2 linked regions of the Lonchura striata genome follow. The protein of the gene in region 2 purifies or fractionates together with the protein of the main gene of each other region. This does not show direct contact. Links are inferred from orthologs where the notes say so. Each region holds a gene or a part of one and is shown on either strand. Other genes may lie near its edges.

Region 1 (10,190 bases), on a different chromosome or scaffold from region 2:
AGGATATTTTTTGATTTTTTTTTGTTGGTTTTTTGGGGCAGTTTAGGGGTATTTTGGGGGTATTATTGGGGTATTTTGGGGGTATTTTAGAGATTTGGGGGTATTTTGGGTTTGGGTGGCTATTTTGGGGCAGTTATGGTGTATTTTTGGGTGTATTTTGGGGTATGTTTGGGTTTGGGTGGCTATTTTTGGGTTTTGGGGGGTATCTTAGGGTATGTTTGAGTTTTGGGGGGGTTTTGGGGGCAGTTTAGGGATATTTTGGGGGTATTATTGGGGTATTTTTGGGTTTGGGTGTATTTTGGGTTTGGGTGGCTATTTCTGGGTTTTGGGGGGTATCTTAGGGTACGTTTGGGTTTGGGGGTTTTTTTTGGGTTTTGGGGGGTATCTCAGGGTACGTTTGGGTTTGGGGGGGTTTTTTGGGTTTTGGGGGGTACCTTAGGGTACGTTTGGGTTTGGGGGGGTTTTTTGGGTTTTGGGGGGTACCTTAGGGTACGTTTGGGTTTTGGGGGGGTTTTTTGGGTTTTGGGGGGGTTTTTTGGGGTAGTTTTGGGGTATTTCGGGGCCGTACCAGAGCCCCTGGCGCTGCAGCGAGCGCACGTGGGCCGGGAGCAGCACCAGGGAAATCTCGGCTTTGACCTTGGAGCCCTCCAGGATGGGATCCACGAGCAGGAAATCGCCTGGGGGGACACGGGGGTCACCCGGGGGTCACCCAGGGGTCACCCGGGGGTCACCCGGGGGTCACCCAGGGGTCACCCGGGGGTCACCCAGGGGTCACGGGGTCACAGGAGTGGCCTGGGGACAGACGCAGGGACAGCGCCCGGGGTGGGGAGGGGCAGCAGGGGACAGTGGGGGAGGGCGGGTGACGGTGACAAAGTGACAAAGAGCCGGCGGCAGCGCCCTGGTGACGGTGGCGCGGTGACAGCCAGAGGGTGACGATGGCGCGGTGACACAGAACAGCCTGGGGACAGTGACAGGGAGGCAGTGCCAGTGCCCCGGTGACAGTGACAAAGTGACAGTGACACGAGACAGCGGCAGGGTGACAATGGCAGGGTGACAATGACAGGGTGACAATGGCAGGGTGACAATGGCACAGTGACAATGACAGGGTGACAGTGATAGGGTGACACAGTGACACTGACAGGGTGACAATAGCACAGTGACTATGACAGGGTGACACAGTGACAGGGAGGCAGTGCCAGTGCCCCGGTGACAGTGACAAAGTGACAGTGACACGAGACAGCGACAGGGTGACGATGGCAGGGTGACAATGGCACAGTGACAATGACAGGGTGACAGTGATAGGGTGACACAGTGATGCTGACAGGGTGACAATGACAGGGTGACAGTGACAGGGTGAAAATGGCAGGGTGACAATGGCAGGGTTACACAGTGATGGTGACGGTGACAGTGATAGGGTGACACAGTGACGCTGACAGGGTGACAATGACAGGGTGACAGTGGCAAGGTGACAATGGCAGGGTGACAATGGCAGGGTTACACAGTGATGCTGACAGGGTGACAGTGATAGGGTGACACAGTGACACTGACAGGGTGACAATAGCACAGTGACAATGGCAGGGTGACACAGTGACACTGACAGGGTGACAATAGCACAGTGACAATGACAGGGTGACACAGTGACAGTGACAGGGAGGCAGTGCCAGTGCCCTGGTGACAGTGACAAAGTGACAGTGACACGAGACAGCGACAGGGTGACAATGGCAGGGTGACACAGTGACGCTGACAGGGTGACGACAACACAGTGACGCTGACAGAGTGACACTGACAGAGTGACAATGACAGGGTGACAGTGACGGGTGACAGTGGCAGGGTGACAGTGATAGGGTGACACAGTGACGCTAACAGGGTGACAATGGCACAGTGACAATGACAGGATGGGAGAAACGGTGACACAGTCACAGTGACAGGGTGACAATGGCAGGGTGACACAGTGACAGGGTGGCGGTGTCACCTCTCTTGATCCAGATGTGCCGCCGGAAGCGCGGTGGCAGTGACAGGGTGACAATAGCACAGTGACAGGGTGGCAGTGACAGGGTGACACAGTGACAGTGACAGGGTGGCGGTGTCACCTCTCTTGATCCAGATGTGCCGCCGGAAGCGCGGTGGCATGCTGGCCAGGAACCGTGTCCCCTCCGCCGTCTCCACCTCGTGCAGGTTGTTCCCCGGTGTCCCCAACACCTGCGGGGACACTCAGTGTCCCCTCCATGTCCCCAGTGTCCCTCAATGTCCCAAATGTCCCCCCAAATCCCCCCGATGTCCCCAATCCCCCCAATGTCCCTGGTGTCCCACCGGTGTCCCCAGTGTCCCAAATATCCCCCCAATGTCCCTGGTGTCCCACCGGTGTCCTAAGTGTCCCCAGTCCCCCCCGATGTCCCTGCGGTGTCCCCAGTGTCCCCCATGTCCCCAGGGTCTCCAACGTCCCCGAAGTGTCCCCAGGGTCCCAAATGTCCCCCCAATCCCCCTGATGTTCCCAATCCCTTAATGTCCCCAGTGTCCCCCATGTCCCCAGTCTCCAACGTCCCCGCAGTGTCCCCCATGTCCCCAGTGTCCCCGCTGTCCCCGCAGTGTCCCCATGTCCCCGGTCTCCCCGGTGTCCCCGCAGTGTCCCCCATGTCCCCAGTGTCCCCGGTGTCCCCCATGTCCCCGGTGTCCCCGCAGTGTCCCCGCTGTCCCCGCTGTCCCCGCAGTGTCCCCATGTCCCCGCAGTGTCCCCATGTCCCCGCAGTGTCCCCAATGTCCCCGCTGTCCCCGCAGTGTCCCCGCTGTCCCCGATGTCCCCGCAGTGTCCCCAATGTCCCCGATGTCCCCGCAGTGTCCCCGCTGTCCCCGATGTCCCCGCAGTGTCCCCAATGTCCCCGCTGTCCCCGCAGTGTCCCCATGTCCCCGGTGTCCCCGCAGTGTCCCCCATGTCCCCCATGTCCCCGCAGTGTCCCCGCAGTGTCCCCCATGTCCCCAGTGTCCCCGCAGTGTCCCCGCAGTGTCCCCGCTGTCCCCATGTCCCCGCTGTCCCCGCAGTGTCCCCGCAGTGTCCCCGCTGTCCCCGCTGTCCCCATGTCCCCGCTGTCCCCATGTCCCCGCTGTCCCCATGTCCCCGCTGTCCCCGCAGTGTCCCCGCTGTCCCCCATGTCCCCGCAGTGTCCCCGCTGTCCCCAGTGTCCCCGCAGTGTCCCCGCTGTCCCCCATGTCCCCGCAGTGTCCCCGCTGTCCCCGCAGTGTCCCCATGTCCCCGCAGTGTCCCCATGTCCCCAATGTCCCCGCTGTCCCCGCAGTGTCCCCATGTCCCCGCTGTCCCCGCAGTGTCCCCGCAGTGTCCCCGCTGTCCCCGCTGTCCCCGCAGTGTCCCCGCTGTCCCCCATGTCCCCGCAGTGTCCCCATGTCCCCGCTGTCCCCAGTGTCCCCATGTCCCCAATGTCCCCGGTGTCCCCATGTCCCCGCTGTCCCCGCAGTGTCCCCGCTGTCCCCATGTCCCCGCTGTCCCCGCTGTCCCCGCTGTCCCCGCTGTCCCCGCAGTGTCCCCGCTGTCCCCGCAGTGTCCCCGCTGTCCCCGCTGTCCCCAGTGTCCCCGCTGTCCCCGCTGTCCCCGGTGTCCCCGCTGTCCCCGCTCTCACCCTGACCACGCTCTGGCCCTCCGCGGGCTGCACGCGCTCCTCCAGCAGCTCCCGCACCACGTGCTTCCGCTTGGTGGCGCGCGACATCGCGGGGCTGGGGGGACACGGGGGGGGCTCAGGGACCCCCGGCGGGGGGGGAGGGGCGGGGGGGGAGCCCCGGGACCCCCCGGGACCCCCCGGGACCCGCCCGGCCCCGCCCCCACCGAGCGGCGCCCGCTCACCTGCGGCAGCACTTCCGGGTAGAGCGGCGGCGGTGACGTCACTTCCGAGAAGGAAGGCGGAAGCTGAGGCGGCCACGCCCCTCTAGAGGCGGGGTCTAATACTGAGCCCGCCCAAAAGGGGGCGGGGCCTAAACGGAACCACGCGGTGATAAATTAATGGCCGCGTTTGGGGCGTGGCCAGGCCAGAGGGCGGGGCTTCATCTGCATAATGAGCGCGGTTATGCAAATGATGGGCTGGATCACCGAGGGGCTCACGCAAACCAGCTGAAATCCTGGCGTGATGCAAATGAGCGCGGGTTGGGGGCGGTGCTATGCAAATAGGTGTGAACGAATGCAGGTGGTGTGGGCGGAGCTATGCAAATGAGGGTCTGGGATGTGGGGCAGGGGCTTGGCGGGGCCATGCTAATGAGCAGGGCTAGCGAATCCTGTGACGTCACTCCAGCACCGCTCATGCCAGCATCGTTTCCGTGACGTCACCCTCGCCGCCGTGACGTCACCCTCCCCGTTACCCCAATACCCGCGCACGCCCCGCCCTTTTCACCCCGTGACGTCATCACGCGCGGCGCCGCGCTCTCTGATTGGCTGCGACGCTCGCGGCGGCGGCGGCGGGGCCAAGATGGCGGCGGAGCGCGCGGAGGCGGCGGCGGCCGGGCCCGGGGAGCCCCTCAGGGACCCCCGAGCCCCCGAGCGCTCCCCCTACGCCGGATGGGCCCACCCCGAGCTCCAGGCCACGCTCGCCGGCATCGGAGCCCCCGCGCAGGGTGCGGGGAGCGGGGGCGAGCCGTGAGGGGAGCGGGAGCCGTGAGGGGAGCGGGACCTGAGGGGAATGGGAGCCGTGAGGGGAACGGGAGGAGCCGTGAGGGGAACGGGAGCCGTGAGGGGATTTGGGGGAAAAGATCTGAATGGGAAACTGAGCGGGTGTCGGAGTCACCTGAGGGGATTTGGGAGAGATGTGAAGGGAAGGAGGAAATTTGGGGGTTAGTTGAGGGGAGATCTGAGGGGTAGCAGGGAAATTTGGGGGTTTCAGGGTTCACCTGAGGGGATTTGGGGGAGGTGTGAGGGGAAGGAGGAAATTTGGGGGTTTTGGGGTCACTTGAGGGGAAGAGAGGAAATTGGGGGGTTTTAGGGTTCACCTGAGGGGATTTGGTGGAGGTGTGAGGGGAAGGAGGAAATTTGGGGGTTACTTGAGGGGAGGTCAGAGGGGTAGGAGGAAAAATTTTTGGGGTCATTTGAGGGAAGATCAGAGGGGTAGGAGGGACATTTTTGGGGTTTTGAGGTTACTTGAGGGGAGGTCTGAGGGGAAATTGGCTGGGTCGGGGTCACCTGAGGGGATTTGGGAGAGGTGTGAGGGGATGGGGAAAATTTGGGGTCACTTGAGGGGACATTTGTGGGGTAGGAGGGAAATTTGGGGGTTTTGGGGTCACTTGAGGGGAGATCTGAGGGGAAGGGGGAAGATTTTGGGGTCACCTGTGGGGATTTGGGGGATTTTTGGGGTTCCCTGGGGGGATTTGAGAGTCCTGAGGGAGGTCAGGAGTCCCTGGGGGAATTTTGGGGGTCCCTGGGGTGGGAAATTCTTGGGGTTCCTTGGGGGGACAGAGGAACGTGGGGGGGGTTGGGGTTTGTGGGGCAGAATTTGGGGATCCCTGAACCCCCCCAATCCCCCCCAGGGACCCGGGAGGAGCTGCTGGAGCGGCTCCAGGCCTACACCCTGCAGGTGAGACCCCCAAAACGGTGGGACCCCAAATTCTCCCCCCTCCTTGTGTCCCTTAAAGGAGGGGGACTCGTTTTTGGGGGGTCTGTTGTGATTTTGAGGGGATTTCATGGGATTATGGAGGGATTTATTGTGATTTTGGGGGGGCTTAATTGGATTTTGGGGGAATTTAATGGAATTTTGAGGGGGCTCATGGCAGTTTTGGAGGATGTAATGTGATTTTTGGGGGGTTTAATGTGGTTTTGAGGGGGTGGGAGGGGATTTTTGGTGGATTTAATGTGATTTTAGGGTTGTTTATTTTGATTTTGGGGTGGTATAATGTGATTTTTTAGGTGTCCTAATGGGACTTTGGGGAGCTTAATAGGATTTGGGGGAGTTTAATGAGATTTTGAGTGGGTTTACTCTGATTTTGGGGGGTTTAATGAGATTTTGGGTGGGTTTACTCTGATTTTGGGGGGTTTAATGAGATTTTGGGTGGGTTTACTCTGATTTTGGGGGGTTTAATGTGCTTTTGGGGGCATTTATTCCATTTTTGGGGGGGTGAGAGAGCTCCTGCTGTCCCTGCCCTCCCAGAAGGGGGGTCCCCATGTCCTCTCGAGTGTGGGGGCTCATGGGAACCCCCCCAAAATTTGTGCTCCCCCCCAGACTGGGATCGTGCTGAGCCGCCCTGCTCTGCGCCCCGAGGAGGGGGACAAGGCCCCGCCCCCCCAGGTGGGATTTTGGGGGATCTGGGGGGGGTTTGGTGGGGGCAGGAACCCCCCAGGGTCTGGTTTGGAGGGAGGGGGGGTTGGGGGCACCCCCAGGACCCCCAGTTTGGGGTGGGGGGGGGGGGGGGCAATCCACGGGTTATTTTGGGGGGGTTTAAGATCCATCAGAGCTCCACATTTTTGGGATGGGGGGGGTCAATGACATTCAATTTTGGGGTGGAGGGGCTCAAAATCTTCCAGACCCCCCAAATTTGAGGTGGGGGGGAGCAATGACACCCAGTTATGGGGTGGAGGGAGGGTTAAAACCCACCCAGACCCCCCAAATTTAGGAGGGGGAGCAATAACACCCAGTTTTGGGGTGGAGGGAGGGTTAAAACCCACCCAAACCCCCCAAATTTGAGGCATTTGTGGTTTTAAATTTCGGGGTGGGGGTGATCAGGGGATTCAGACCCCTCCCACCACTGAATCCCGGGGGATGAAATTTTGGGGTGGGGGTGTCCCAGGTGACCCTGACCCCTCCTCCCCCTCCCCAGCTGCCCCCAGCGCTGCCCCTGCAGCACCCCCTGGTGCCGCCCCCTCCCCCCCCGGGCCTGGGGCTCACTTTCGGTCTGGGGGGGCCCGTGGGGGGGGTCCCGGTGCCGCCCCCGCCCCCCCCGGGGGGCTCTCCGAGGAGGAGCGGCTGACGCTGGCCCAGCAGCAGGCGGCCCTGCTGCTGCAGGAGGAGAGGGCACAGGTTTGGGGGGAATTTTGGGGGGTGGGGGGCACGGGGGTGTGGGGTTTGGGGGGGATTTTGGGGGTTAAAGGGGCCCTGCTGCTGCAGGAGGAGAGGGCACAGGTCTGGGGGGAATTTTGGGGGGTGGGGGGCACGGGGGTGTGGGTTTGGGGGGGTTAAAGGGGGTCTGGGGGGGGTTAAAGGGGCCCTGCTGCTGCAGGAGGAGAGGGCACAGGTCTGGGGGGAATTTTGGGGGGTGGGGGGCACGGGGGTGTGGGTTTGGGGGGGTTAAAGGGGCCCTGCTGCTGCAGAAGGAGAGGGCACAGGTCTGGGGGACACGGGGGTGTGGGATTTCGGGGGGATTTTGGGGGGGTTAAAGGGGCCCTGCTGCTGCAGGAGGAGCGGGCACAGGTTTGGGGGGAATTTTGGGGGGTGGGGGGCATGGGGGTGTGGGGTTTGGGGGGGATTTTGGGGGTTAAAGGGGCCCTGCTGCTGCAGGAGGAGCGGGCACAGGTCTGGGGGGCACGGGGGTGTGGGGTTTTGGGGGGATTTTGGGGGTTTGGGGGGGTTAAAGGGGCCCTGCTGCTGCAGGAGGAACAGGCACAGGTCTGGAGGGAATTTTGGGGGGTGGGGGGCACGGGGGTGTGGGATTTCGGGGGGATTTTGGGGGGGTTAAAGGGGCCCTGCTGCTGCAGGAGGAGAGGGCACAGGTCTGGAGGGAATTTTGGGGGGTGGGGGGCACGGGGGTGTGGGGTTTGGGGGGGATTTTGGGGGTTTGGGGGGGTTAAAGGGGCCCTGCTGCTGCAGGAGGAGCGGGCACAGGTCTGGGGGGCATTTCGGGGGGTGGGGGGCATGGGGATGTGGGGTTTCGGGGGGATTCGGGGGGATTTTGGGGGTTTGGGGGGGTTAAAGGGGCCCTGCTGCTGCAGGAGGAGCGGGCTCAGGTCCGGGGTGGGGGTGTTTTGTGGTGGGGGTCACCTTTTGGGGGGTGGGGGGCACCCTTGGGTAGGGGGGGAATGGAGGGTGTGGAGTTTGGGGGGTATTTTGGGGGGGTTTGGAGGATGACTGTGTCTCTGCTGCTGCAGGAGGGGCAGGGACAGGTCCAGGGAGGGCATTTTGGGGTGAGGGGCACCCTTGGGTGGGTGGGGAGCACGAGGGGACTCGGGGGTGTGGGGTTTGGGGGGAGTTGGGGGGTTTAAAGGCGTTCAGGGGGTGTTGGAGAGGGTGAGGCACCTATAGAGGGGATGAGCTGAGAGGTGGTTTTGGGGTGGGATTTGGCGTTTTTGGGGGTGTTGAAGAGTGGGTGACCCCTTGTGGGCGCACCCTTGGGTGCTGGGGGTTGTCCTGACTGTGCTCCCCCGACAGGGCCAGCACCCATTCGGGGACAAGGCCAAGGAGCAGGAGCTGCTGGAGCAGCAGAAACGGGTGAGGTGGGAGGGGGGGGACACCCCTGGGTTTTGGGGGGCACCTCGGGGTGGGGGGGCCGAGCCCAGGCCCCCCTGACCCCCCGTGCCCCCCCCGTGCCCCCCAGGCCGCGGTGCTGCTGGAGCAGGAGCGGCAGCAGGAGATGGCCAAGCTGACCCCCCCCGCCCCCCGTGCGCCCCCCGAGGGGGCTCCCATGGCTGCCAGGACCCCCCTGGCCCCCCGAGGTGAGGGGGACCCCTGGGTGGGGGGGGGGACACACCTTTGTCCCCTGTGCCCACCCCCTCCTGGGCTGATGTCACCTTTGTGTCCCCCCCTCCCCTCCCTCAGGCAGCCCCATGGGAGCCCCCCTGGCCATGGGAGCCCCCCGGCCCCGCGGGCCCCCCCCGCCCCCCGGCGACGACAGCAGAGAGGTGGGGCTGGGGGCTTGGGGGTCTGTGGGGCTGGGGGATTGGGGGCTTGGGGGGTCTGTGGGGCTGGGGGATTGGGGGCTTGGGGGGTCTGTGGGGCTGGGGGCTTGGGGGCTTGGGGGTCTGTGGGGCTGGGGGATTGGGGGCTTGGGGGTCTGTGGGGCTGGGGGGGGTCAGTGGGGCTGGGGGGGGTCTGTGGGGCTGGGGGGGGTCTCTGGGGGGCTGGGGGCTTGGGGGGGGTCTGTGGGGCTGGGGGCTTGGGGGTCTGTGGGGCTGGGGGATTGGGGGGGTCTGTGTGGCTGGGGGGGCTGTATTGGGGGGGTCTCTGTGGGGCTGGGGGCTTGGCGGGGTCTGTGGGGCTGGGGGGGGTCTCTGTGGGGCTGGGGGCTTGGGGTGTCTGTGGGGCTGGGGGATTGGGGGTCTGTGGGGCTGGGGGCTTGGGGGTCTGTGGGGCTGGGGGGGCTGTATTGGGGGGGTCTGTGGGGCTGGGGGGGCTGTATTGGGGGGATCTCTGTGGGGCTGGGGGATTGGGGGTCTGTGGGGCTGGGGGGTCTCTGTGGGGCTGGGGGCTTGGGGGGTCTGTGGGGCTGGGGGGTCTCTGTGGGGCTGGGGGCTTGGGGGGGTCTGTGGGGCTGGGGGGGGTCTCTGTGGGGCTGGGGGCTTGGGGGGTCTGTGGGGCTGGGGGGGGTCTGTGGGGCTGGGGGGGCTGTATTGTGGGGGGGTCTCCGGGGGGCTGTATTGGGGGGGTCTGTGGGGCTGGGGGCTTGGGGGTCTGTGGGGCTGGGGGGGGTCTCTGTGGGGCTGGGGGTCTGCACGGGGAGTCTCTTGAGTCTGGGGTCTCTGTTGTGGGGAGGGGTCTCTGTGGGTTTGTGGTGTCTGTTGGGGAGGGGCTGGGGGCTCTGTTTGGGGTCTCTGAGTCTGGGGTTCCTTTATTGTGGGGAGGGGTCTCTGTGGGTCTGGGGTCTCTTTGGGGGCAGACCCAGGAGTCTCCCCTTTTTTGGAGTCTCCTTAATTTCAGGAGGGTCGTCCTGATTTTGAGGGAGTCCCGGGGGTCTTCCTCATTCCAGGGGGTCCTTGGGGGGTCTCTCTGATTTTGGGGGTGGTCCCGGGGGTCCCGCTGACCCCCCCATGGTGCCCCCCAGGCCGAGGACTCCGGGGTGGGCCCCAAGATCCCGCAGGCGCTGGAGAAGATCCTGCAGCTCAAGGAGAGCCGGCAGGAGGAGCTGGTGACGGTGCCGGGGGTCTCGGGTGAGCCCTGCCACCCCCAATGTCCCTCAGTGTCCCCTGCCACCCCCAGGGCCACCCCGGTGTCCCCTGCCACCCCCAGGGCCACCCCGGTGTCCCCTGCCACCTCCAGGGCCACCCCCAGGGCCACCCC
Region 2 (10,190 bases):
GGGGAGTTGAAAGGGTTAAAATTGGATTTTTGGAGGGTTTAAAGGAATTTTTGGGGTGAAAATTGGAAGGTTTTGGGTTTAAATGGGATTTTATGGGTGTAAATGGATTCTGGGCCGGTGGAGCCGAGGAGGAGGACTGAGCATTCCCGGAAAAACGGGAATTCCCGGAATTCCGTCAGTCCGGGGGGCGCTGCAAGGGTTAACGTGGGGGTTTTGGGGGTTAAATTGGGATTGTGGGGAGTTGAAAGGGTTAAAATCGGATTTGTGGGGAGTTGAAAGGGTTAAAATGGGAGTTTCTGGGGTTAAAATTGGATTTTTGGGGTTAAAATTGGGATTTGTGGGGAGTTGAAAGGGTTAAAATTGGGGATTTTGGGGTTAAGATTGGATTTTTAGGGAGTTGAAAGGGTTAAAATTGGATTTGTGGGGAGTTGAAAGGGTTAAAATGGGAGTTTTGGGGTTAAAATTGGATTTTTCGGGGGTTGAAAGGGTTAAAATTGGGGATTTTTGGGGAGTTGAAAGGGTTAAAAATGGATTTTTGGAAGTTTTAAAGGGGATTTTGGGGTTAAAATTGGAAGGTTTTGGGTTTAAATGGGATTCTGGGCCGGTGGAGCCGAGGACGAGGAGGAGGACTGAGCCTTCCCGAAAAACGGGAATTCCCGGAATTCCGTCAGTCCGGGGGGTGCTTCGGGGGCGCTGCGAGGGTTAAAGTTGGATTTTGGGGGGGTTGAAAGGGTTAAAATGGGAGTTTCTGGGGTTAAAATTGGATTTTTGGGGTTAAAATTGGGATTTGTGGGGAGTTGAAAGGGTTAAAATTGGGGATTTTTGGGGGGTTGAAAGGGTTAAAATTGGGGATTTTGGGGTTAAAATTGGGATTTTGGGGTTAAAATTGGGATTTTGGGGTGTTAAAAGGGTTAAAATTGGATTTTTGGGAGTTAAATTGGGATTTTTGGGGGGTTGAAAGGGTTAAAATTTATTTTTGGGGGTTTTTGGGATCTGGGGCTGGAATTTTGGGAATTTTGGGATCCGGGGCTGGAATTTTGGGAATTTTGGGATCCGACGTTGGAATTTCAGGATCCGGGGTTGGAATTTCAGGATCCGGGGTTGGAATTTTGGAATTTTGGGATCCGAGGTTGGAATTTTGGGATCTGACGTTGGAATTATGGGATCTGGGGCTGGAATTTTGGGAATTTCCGGATCCGAGGTTGGAATTTCGGGATCCGGGGCTGGAATTTTGGGAATTTCCGGATCCGGGGCGGGAATTTTGGGAATTTCGGGATCCGAGGTTGGAATTTTGGGATCCGAGGTTGGAATTTCGGGATCTGGGGCTGGAATTTTGGGAATTTCGGGATCCGAGGTTGGAATTTCGGGATCCGGGGCTGGAATTTTGGGATCTGGGGCTGGAATTTTGGGAATTTCGGGATCCGGGGCTGGAATTTTGGGAATTTTGGGATCCAGGGCTGGAGTTTTGGGAATTTTGGGATCCGGGGCTGGAATTTTGGGAATTTCGGGATCCGGGGCTGGAATTTTGGGAATTTCGGGATCCGGGGCTGGAATTTTGGGGATTTCGGGATCCGAGGTTGGAATTTCGGGATCCGAGGTTGGAATTTTGGGAATTTCGGGATCCGGGGCTGGAATTTTGGGAATTTCGGGATCCGAGGTTGGAATTTCGGGATCCGGGGCTGGAATTTTGGGAATTTCGGGGCCCCCCGTGATGGCAGCACTGGGCTCTGACCCCTGATGGATCCCTGTGCCCCTCCCCCACGCGGGGGGGTCTGAGGGGGCCCCAAATCCCAAATCCCCCAATTTGGGGCGAAAGTCGGGAACTTTTTGGGGAGAATTTCGGGAATTTTGGGGGAAAACTTCAAGAATTTTTGGGAAGAATTTTGGGGAATTTTTTGGGGGGGAATTTTGGGATTTTTTTGGAGGGGAATTTCTTGGGGGGGAATTCTGGGAATTTTTGGGGGAATTTCAGAAATTTTTGGGGGCATTTTGGGAATTTTTTTTTGGGATTTTGAGAATTTTTGAAGGGAGTTTCGGGAATATTTTGGGGGAATTTCCAAATTTTTGGGGGGGAATTTTGGGAATTTTATTGCGGTACTTCTGGGAATTTTTTGGAGGGAATTTTGGAATTTTTTTGGGGAGAATTTTGGGGAATTTTTTTTGGGAATTTCAGGAATTTTCTGAGGGAATTTTTTGTGGGAATTTCAGGAATTTTCTGGAGGGAATTTTGGGAATTTTTGGGGGAAATTTTGGGAATTTCGGGCTGGAATTAACCCTTTGTTGTCTTGCCTCCAGGTGACGCCGCCGGAAGTTCGGAGTGGGGAAATTCCCGTCAATAAAAATTGAAATTTAAAAATGAAAAATTAAAATATTTTTGGTTTTTTTTTTTCTGAGAGCTGCCCCAGCTGGGCCTGGCACACCTGGGACAAAAAAGACCGAAAAAAGGGAAAAAGGGAAAAAGCAGGAAGAAAATACTATAAAAAGGGGAAAAAGAGGGAAAAAAAGATCGAAAAATGGGGAAAAAAGGGAAAACAGGGGAAGAAAAGGGGGAAAAAAGGGGAGAAAAAGGAAAAAAAGACAGAAAAAAGGGGAAAAATGGGGGGAAAAGGGGAATAAAAGGAAGAAAAGACTGAAAAAAGGGATAAAAGGGGGAAAAAGGGGAAAAAAGGCACAAAAGCGGAAAAAGGGGAAAAAAAGACTAAATAGAGGAAAAAAGGTGGAGGGAAGGAAAAAAAGACAGAAAAAAGGGGAAAAATGGGGGAAAAAGGGGAATAAAAGGAAAAAAAGACTGAAAAAAGGGGGAAAATGGGGAAGAAAAGACTGAAAAAAAGGGGAAAAATGGGGAAAAAGACCGAGAGAAGAGGGGAAAAGAGGGGAAAATGGGGAAAAAAGGGGAAGAAAAGACAGAAAAAAGGGGAAAAAAGGGAAAAAAAAGACCGAAAAAAGAGGGGGAAAGGGAAAAAAGGAATAAAAGGGGGAAAAAGGGGAAAAAAGGCACAAAAGGGGAAAAAGGGAAAAAAAAAAAGCCTAAAAAAGGGAAAAAAGGGGGAGGGAAGGAAAAAAAGACTGAAAAAAGGGGAAAAATGGGGGAAGAAAAGACTGAAAAAAGGGGAAAAATGGGGGAAAAGGGGGAATAAAATGAAAAAAAGACTGAAAAAAGGGGAAAAATGTGGGGAAAAGGGGGAATATAAGGAAAAAAAGACTGAAAAAAGGGGGAAAAGGGGAAGAAAAGACAGAAAAAAGGGGAAAAATGGGGGGAAAGGGGGAATATAAGGAAAAAAAGACTGAAAAAAGGGGGAAAAGGGGGGAAAAAAAGACAGAAAAAAGGGGAAAAAGGGGAAAAAGACCGAGAGAAGAGGGGAAAAGAGGGGAAAATGGGGAAAAAAGGGGAAGAAAAGACAGAAAAAAGGGGAAAAAAAGGAAAAAAGACCGAAAAAAGAGGGGAAAAGGGGAAAAAGGGGAAAAAGAGGAAAAAGGGAAAAAAGGGGAAAAAGGGGAAAAAGGGAAAAAAGGGGGAAAAGGGGAAAAAAGGGAAAAAAGGGGAAAAAAGGGGAAAAAGGGGAAAAAAGGGGAAAAAAGGGAAAAAAGGGGAAAAAGGGAAAAAGGGAAAAAAGGGGAAAAAGGGGAAAAAGGGGAAAAAGGGGAAAAAGGGGAAAAAGGGGAAAAAGGGGAAAAAGGGGAAAAGGGGAAAAAGGGAAAAAGGGAAAAAGGGAAAAAGGGGAAAAAGGGGAAAAAAGGGGGAAAAGGGGAAAAAGGACAAAAGGGGAAAAAGGGGAAAAAAGGGGAAAAAGGGGAAAAAGGGGAAAAAGGGAAAAAAGGGAAAAAGGGGAAAAAGGGGAGCGGGCTTCGGGCCCGAGCGGGGCCGGGAAGCGGCGGGAAAAGCCGAGCGGGGCCGGAAGTTCCCGAGCGGCGCCGGAAATTCCCGAGCGGCGCCGGAAGTTCCGAGCGGGACCGGAAGCGCCGAGCGCTGGCGGGAGTTCCCGAGCGCCGCCGGGAATTGCCGAAGCGGCGGCGGAAGGAGCCGAAGGCGCGGCCGGAAGCGGCCGAGCGCGGCCGGAAGCGGCGGAGCGCGGGCGGAGGCGGCGCGGCCTGAGGGCGGCCGTGAGGAGCGGGGAGGCGCCGGGAGAGCTCCGGGAAAGCTCCGGGGAGGCGCCGGGAAAGCTCCGGGAGGCTCCCGGGGAGCCGCCGCCATGTCCGACTTCGACGAGTTCGAGCGGCAGCTGAACGAGAACAAACAAGGTACCGGCCCCGCCCCCCCCACGGGCCGCGCCTCACGGGGGGGGGGAACGGGGGAGACCCCCCCAAAAATTGGGGGAGACCCCCCCCCACCACCCCAGCCCAAATTTGGGGTTCCCCCCCCCCCGGTTTTGGGGTTCCTCCAGTCCCGGTTTGGGTTCTCCCCCCGAAAATTTGGGTTCGACTTTCGGTGCCCCCCCCTCCCCTTCCCCAAATTGGGCTCGTCCGCCATTGGTTTTGACCCCCCCCCCAATTTTGGGGTTCGCCCTCCCCAAATTTGGGGATCCCCTTCTAAATTTGGGGTCCCCCCCACACGAATTTGGGATCCCCCTCTTAATTTGGGGTCCCCCCACACGAATTTGGGATCCCCCCTCTCCAATTTTGACCCCCCCCCCCAATTTTGGGGTTCGCCCTCCCTAATTTGGAGACCCCCCCCTCTTAATTTGGGGTTCCCCCACCCCAAATTTGGGGATCCCCCCTCTTAATTTGGGGTCCCCCCTCTCCAATTTTGACCCCCACCCCCAATTTTGGGGTTCGCCCTCCCTAATTTGGGGATCCCCCCCTCTTAATTTGGGGTTTCCCCACCCCAATTTTGACCCCACCCCAAAATTTGGGGACCCCGCTCTTAATTTGGGGTTCCCCCACCCCAATTTTGTCCCCCACCTCCAATTTTTGGGGTCCCCCCACCCCAAATTTGGGGACCCCCCTCTTAATTTGGGGTCCCCCCACACGAATTTGGGGTCTCCCCCATTCCAATTTTGACCCCACCCCAAAATTTGGGGTCCCCCCACCCCAAATTTCGGGATCCCCCTCTTAATTTAAGGTCCCTCCTCAAGAATTTGGGATCCCCCCCCATTCCAATTTTGACCTCCACCCCAAAATTTGGGGTCCCCCCACCCCAAATTTGGGGATCCCCCTCTTAATTTGGGGTTCCCCCTCCCCAAATTTGGGGATCCCCTTCTTAATTTGGGGTCCCTCCTCACGAATTTGGGATCCCCCCCATTCCAATTTTGACCCCCACCCCAATTTTTGACCCCCACCCCAAATTTGGGGATCCCCCCTCCTAATTTGAGGTCCCCCCTCCCCAAATTTGGGGACTCCCCTCTTAATTTGGGGTCCCCCCCACGGGAATTTGGGGTCCCCCCCTCCCCAATTTTTGACCCCACCCCAATTTTGGGGAACCCCCCCCCTCGAATTTTGGATCCCCCCAAATTTTGGGTTCATCCTTCGTGACCCCCTCCCCCAAATTTTGGGGTCCCCTCCTCCAATTTTGGATCCCCCCCAAATTTTGGGATAATTTTGGGTTTTTCCCCCACAATTTTGGGATAATTTTGGGGTTTTACCTCCCAATTTTGGGATAATTTTGGATTTTTCCCCTCACAATTTTGGGATAATTTTGGGTTTTTTCCCCCCCCAATTTTGGGAGAATTTGGGGTTTTTTCCACCCAAATTTTGGGATAATTTTGGGTCTTTTCCCCCCCCAATTTTGGGATAATTTTGGATTTTTCCCCTCACAATTTTGGGATAATTTTGGGGTTTCCTCCCCCCCCAATTTTGGGATAATTTTGGGGTTTTTTCCACCCAAATTTTGGGATAATTCTGGGTCTTTTCCCCCCCAATTTTGGGATAATTTTGGGGTTTTACCTCCCAATTTTGGGATAATTTTGGATTTTTCCCCTCACAGTTTTGGGATAATTTTGGGTTTTTCCCCCCCCCAACCAATTTTGGGATAATTTTGGTTTTTTTCCACTTTTTTGGGGTTGATTTTGGGGTATTTTCTCCCCTCGCAGAGCGGGACAAGGAGAACCGGGGGTTTGGATTAGTTTGAGTTTATTTTATGATATGTTGGGTTATTTTGGTTTATTTTAGGTTTATTTTAGGTTTATTTTGGGTTAATTTTGGCCCATTTTGGGTTAATTTGGGGCCATTTTGGGTTAATTTGGGGCCATTTTGGGTTAATTTGGGGCCATTTTGGGTTAATTTTGGCCCATTTTGGGTGTTTTCTCCCCTCGCAGAGCGGGACAAGGAGAACCGGGGGTTTGGGTTAGTTTGGGATATTTTGGTTTATTTTAGGTTTATTTTGGGTTTATTTTGGGATATTTTGGGTATCTTTGGGGCTATTTTGGGTTAATTTGGGGCCATTTTGGGTTAATTTTGGGCCATTTTGGGTGTTTTCTCCCCTCGCAGAGTGGGACAAGGAGAACCGGGGGTTTGGGTTAGTTTGGGATATTTTGGGTTGATTTGGGGTATATTTTGGGTTTATTTTGTGATTTTTGGGCCATTTTGGGTTAATTTTGGCCCATTTTGGGTTAATTTTGGCCCATATTGGGTTAATTTTGGGCCATTTTGGGTGTTTTCTCCCCTCGCAGAGCGGGACAAGGAGAACCGGGGGTTTGGGTTAGTTTGGGTTTATTTTATGATATGTTGGGTTATTTTGGGATATTTTGGGTTATTTTGGGATATTTTGGGTAAATTTTGGGATATTTTGGGATATTTGGGTTGATTTTGGGACTTTTCCTCCCCTTGCAGAGTGGGACAAGGAGAACCGGGGGTTTGGCTTGTTTGTGATATTTTGGTTTATTTTAGGTTTATTTTGGGCTTATTTTGAGCTATTTTGGGTTAATTTTGGGCCATTTTGGGTTAATTTTGAGCTATTTTGGGTTAATTTTGGGCCATTTTGGGTTAATTTTGGGCCATTTTGGGTTAATTTTGGTGCATTTTGGGTGTTTTCTCCCCTTGCAGAGCGGGACAAGGAGAACCGGGGGTTTGGGTTAGTTTGGGATATTTTGGTTTATTTTAGGTTTATTTTGGGATATTTTGGGATATTTCGGGTTAATTTTGGGTTAATTTTGGCCCATTTTGGGTTAATTTTGAGCTATTTTGGGTTAATTTTGGCCGATTTTGGGTGTTTCCTCCCCTCGCAGAGCGGGACAAGGAGAACCGGGGCTTTGGGTTAGTTTGGGATATTTTGGTTTATTTTAGGTTTATTTTGGGTTAATTTTGGGCCATTTTGGGTTAATTTTGGGATATTTTGGGTTAATTTGGGGCCATTTTGGGTTAATTTTGGCCGATTTTGGGTGTTTCCTCCCCTCGCAGAGCGGGACAAGGAGAACCGGGGGTTTGGATTAGTTTGAGTTTAGTTTATGATATGTTGGGTTATTTTGGTTTATTTTGGGTTTATTTTGGGATATTTTGGGTTAATTTTGGCCCATTTTGGGTTAATTTTGGCCCATTTTGGGTTAATTTTGAGCTATTTTGGGTTAATTTTGGCCGATTTTGGGTGTTTCCTCCCCTCGCAGAGCGGGACAAGGAGAACCGGCACCGCAAGCGCTCCCACAGCCGCTCGCGCAGCCGCGACCGCAAACGGCGCAGCCGCTCCCGGGAGCGCCGCAACCGCGACCAGCGCAGCGTGTCCCGCGACCGCCGCCGCCGCCGGTAACTGGGGAAACTGGGAATACTGGGAATACTGGGAATGGGCACTGGGAGCACTGGGAGCACTGGGAATGGGCACTGGGATACTGGGAGCACTGGGAGCGCCGCAACCGCGACCAGCGCAGCGTGTCCCGCGACCGCCGCCGCCGCCGGTAACTGGGAGCACTGGGAATACTGGGAATACTGGGAATGGGCACTGGGGATACTGGGGATACTGGGAATGGGCACTGGGAGCACTGGGAATGGGCATTGGGATACTGGGAGCACTGGGAGCAGCCGCTCCCGAGAGCGCCGCAACCGCGACCAGCGCAGCGTGTCCCGCGACCGCCGCCGCCGCCGGTAACTGGGAGCACTGGGAATACTGGGAGCACTGGGAATGGGCACTGGGGGCACTGGGGATACTGGGAATGGGCACTGGGAGCACTGGGAATGGGCACTGGGATACTGGGAGCACTGGGAGCAGCCGCTCCCGGGATCGCCGCAACCGCGACCAGCGCAGCGTGTCCCGCGACCGCCGCCGCCGCCGGTAACTGGGAGCACTGGGAATACTGGGAATGGGCACTGGGGATACTGGGAGCACTGGGAATGGGCACTGGGAGCACTGGGAATGGGCACTGGGATACTGGGAGCACTGGGAATACTGGGAATGGGCACTGGGATACTGGGAGCACTGGGAGCGCCGCAACCGCGACCAGCGCAGCGTGTCCCGCGACCGCCGCCGCCGCCGGTAACTGGGAGCACTGGGGATACTGGGGATACTGGGAATGGGCACTGGGGGCACTGGGGATACTGGGAATGGGCACTGGGAGCACTGGGAATGGGCACTGGGATACTGGGAGCACTGGGAGCAGCCGCTCCCGGGAGCGCCGCAACCGCGACCAGCGCAGCGTGTCCCGCGACCGCCGCCGCCGCCGGTAACTGGGGAAACTGGGAATACTGGGAATACTGGGAATACTGGGAATGGGCACTGGGGATACTGGGGATACTGGGAATGGGCACTGGGATACTGGGGATACTGGGAATGGGCACTGGGATACTGGGAGCACTGGGAGCGCCGCAACCGCGACCAGCGCAGCGTGTCCCGCGACCGCCGCCGCCGCCGGTAACTGGGGAAACTGGGAATACTGGGAATGGGCACTGGGGATACTGGGAATACTGGGAATGGGCACTGGGGATACTGGGGATACTGGGAGCACTGGGAGCGCCGCAACCGCGACCAGCGCAGCGTGTCCCGCGACCGCCGCCGCCGCCGGTAACTGGGAGCACTGGGAATACTGGGAATGGGCACTGGGATACTGGGGATACTGGGAATGGGCACTGGGAGCACTGGGAATGGGCACTGGGATACTGGGAGCACTGGGAGCGCCGCAACCGCGACCAGCGCAGCGTGTCCCGCGACCGCCGCCGCCGCCGGTAACTGGGGAAACTGGGAATACTGGGAATACTGGGAATACTGGGAATGGGCACTGGGAATACTGGGGATACTGGGAATGGGCACTGGGAGCACTGGGAATGGGCACTGGGATACTGGGAGCACTGGGAGCGCCGCAACCGCGACCAGCGCAGCGTGTCCCGCGACCGCCGCCGCTGCCGGTAACTGGGAGCACTGGGAATACTGGGAATACTGGGAATGGGCACTGGGGGCACTGGGGATACTGGGAATGGGCACTGGGATACTGGGAGCACTGGGAGCAGCCGCTCCCGGGAGCGCCGCAACCGCGACCAGCGCAGCGTGTCCCGCGACCGCCGCCGCCGCCGGTAACTGGGAGCACTGGGAATACTGGGAATGGGCACTGGGGGCACGGGAATACTGGGAATACTGGGAATGGGCACTGGGGATACTGGGGATACTGGGAATGGGCACTGGGAGCACTGGGAATGGGCACTGGGATACTGGGAGCACTGGGAGCGCCGCAACCGCGACCAGCGCAGCGTGTCCCGCGACTGCCGCCGCCGCCGGTAACTGGGAGCACTGGGAATACTGGGAATACTGGGAATGGGCACTGGGGGCACTGGGAATACTGGGAATGGGCACTGGGGATACTGGGGATACTGGGAATGGGCACTGGGAGCACTGGGAATGGGCACTGGGATACTGGGAGCACCGGGAGCGCCGCAACCGCGACCAGCGCAGCGTGTCCCGCGACCGCCGCCGCCGCCGGTAACTGGGAGCACTGGGAATACTGGGGACACTGGGAATGGGCACTGGGGATACTGGGGATACTGGGGATGGGCACTGGGATACTGGGGATACTGGGGATGGGCACTGGGGATACTGGGAATGGGCACTGGGAGCACTGGGGATACTGGGAATGGGCACTGGGATACTGGGAGCACTGGGAGCGCCGCAACCGCGACCAGCGCAGCGTGTCCCGCGACCGCCGCCGCCGCCGGTAACTGGGAGCACTGGGAATACTGGGAATACTGGGAATGGGCACTGGGGATACTGGGAGCACTGGGAGCGCCGCAACCGCGACCAGCGCAGCGTGTCCCGCGACCGCCGCCGCCGCCGGTAACTGGGA

Evidence for each region.
Region 1: the proteins of U2AF2 (region 2) and SF3B2 purify together in Homo sapiens (affinity purification with mass spectrometry; 3 studies listed by BioGRID and IntAct, counting the BioPlex papers as one, with this or other methods). This does not show direct contact. The link is inferred for Lonchura striata from reciprocal best matches to the Homo sapiens genes U2AF2 and SF3B2.

What each region holds. Positions count from the first base shown.
Region 1 is NC_134638.1:657,842-668,031, reverse strand, and holds the start of SF3B2 (splicing factor 3B subunit 2), read left to right. Parts: upstream 1-4,457; 5' UTR 4,458-4,466; coding exon 4,467-4,611; intron 4,612-5,517; coding exon 5,518-5,564; intron 5,565-6,206; coding exon 6,207-6,303; intron 6,304-6,825; coding exon 6,826-7,001; intron 7,002-8,345; coding exon 8,346-8,405; intron 8,406-8,511; coding exon 8,512-8,629; intron 8,630-8,732; coding exon 8,733-8,815; intron 8,816-9,954; coding exon 9,955-10,060; intron 10,061-10,190. Other genes in the region: putative RNA-binding protein EIF1AD, read right to left, coding at 569-677, 2,091-2,199, 3,630-3,716. UniProt on the Homo sapiens protein: Component of the 17S U2 SnRNP complex of the spliceosome, a large ribonucleoprotein complex that removes introns from transcribed pre-mRNAs.
Region 2 is NC_134640.1:2,651,647-2,661,836, forward strand, and holds the start of U2AF2 (splicing factor U2AF 65 kDa subunit), read left to right. Parts: upstream 1-4,039; 5' UTR 4,040-4,190; coding exon 4,191-4,239; intron 4,240-7,535; coding exon 7,536-7,671; intron 7,672-10,190. UniProt on the Homo sapiens protein: Plays a role in pre-mRNA splicing and 3'-end processing. By recruiting PRPF19 and the PRP19C/Prp19 complex/NTC/Nineteen complex to the RNA polymerase II C-terminal domain (CTD), and thereby pre-mRNA, may couple transcription to splicing.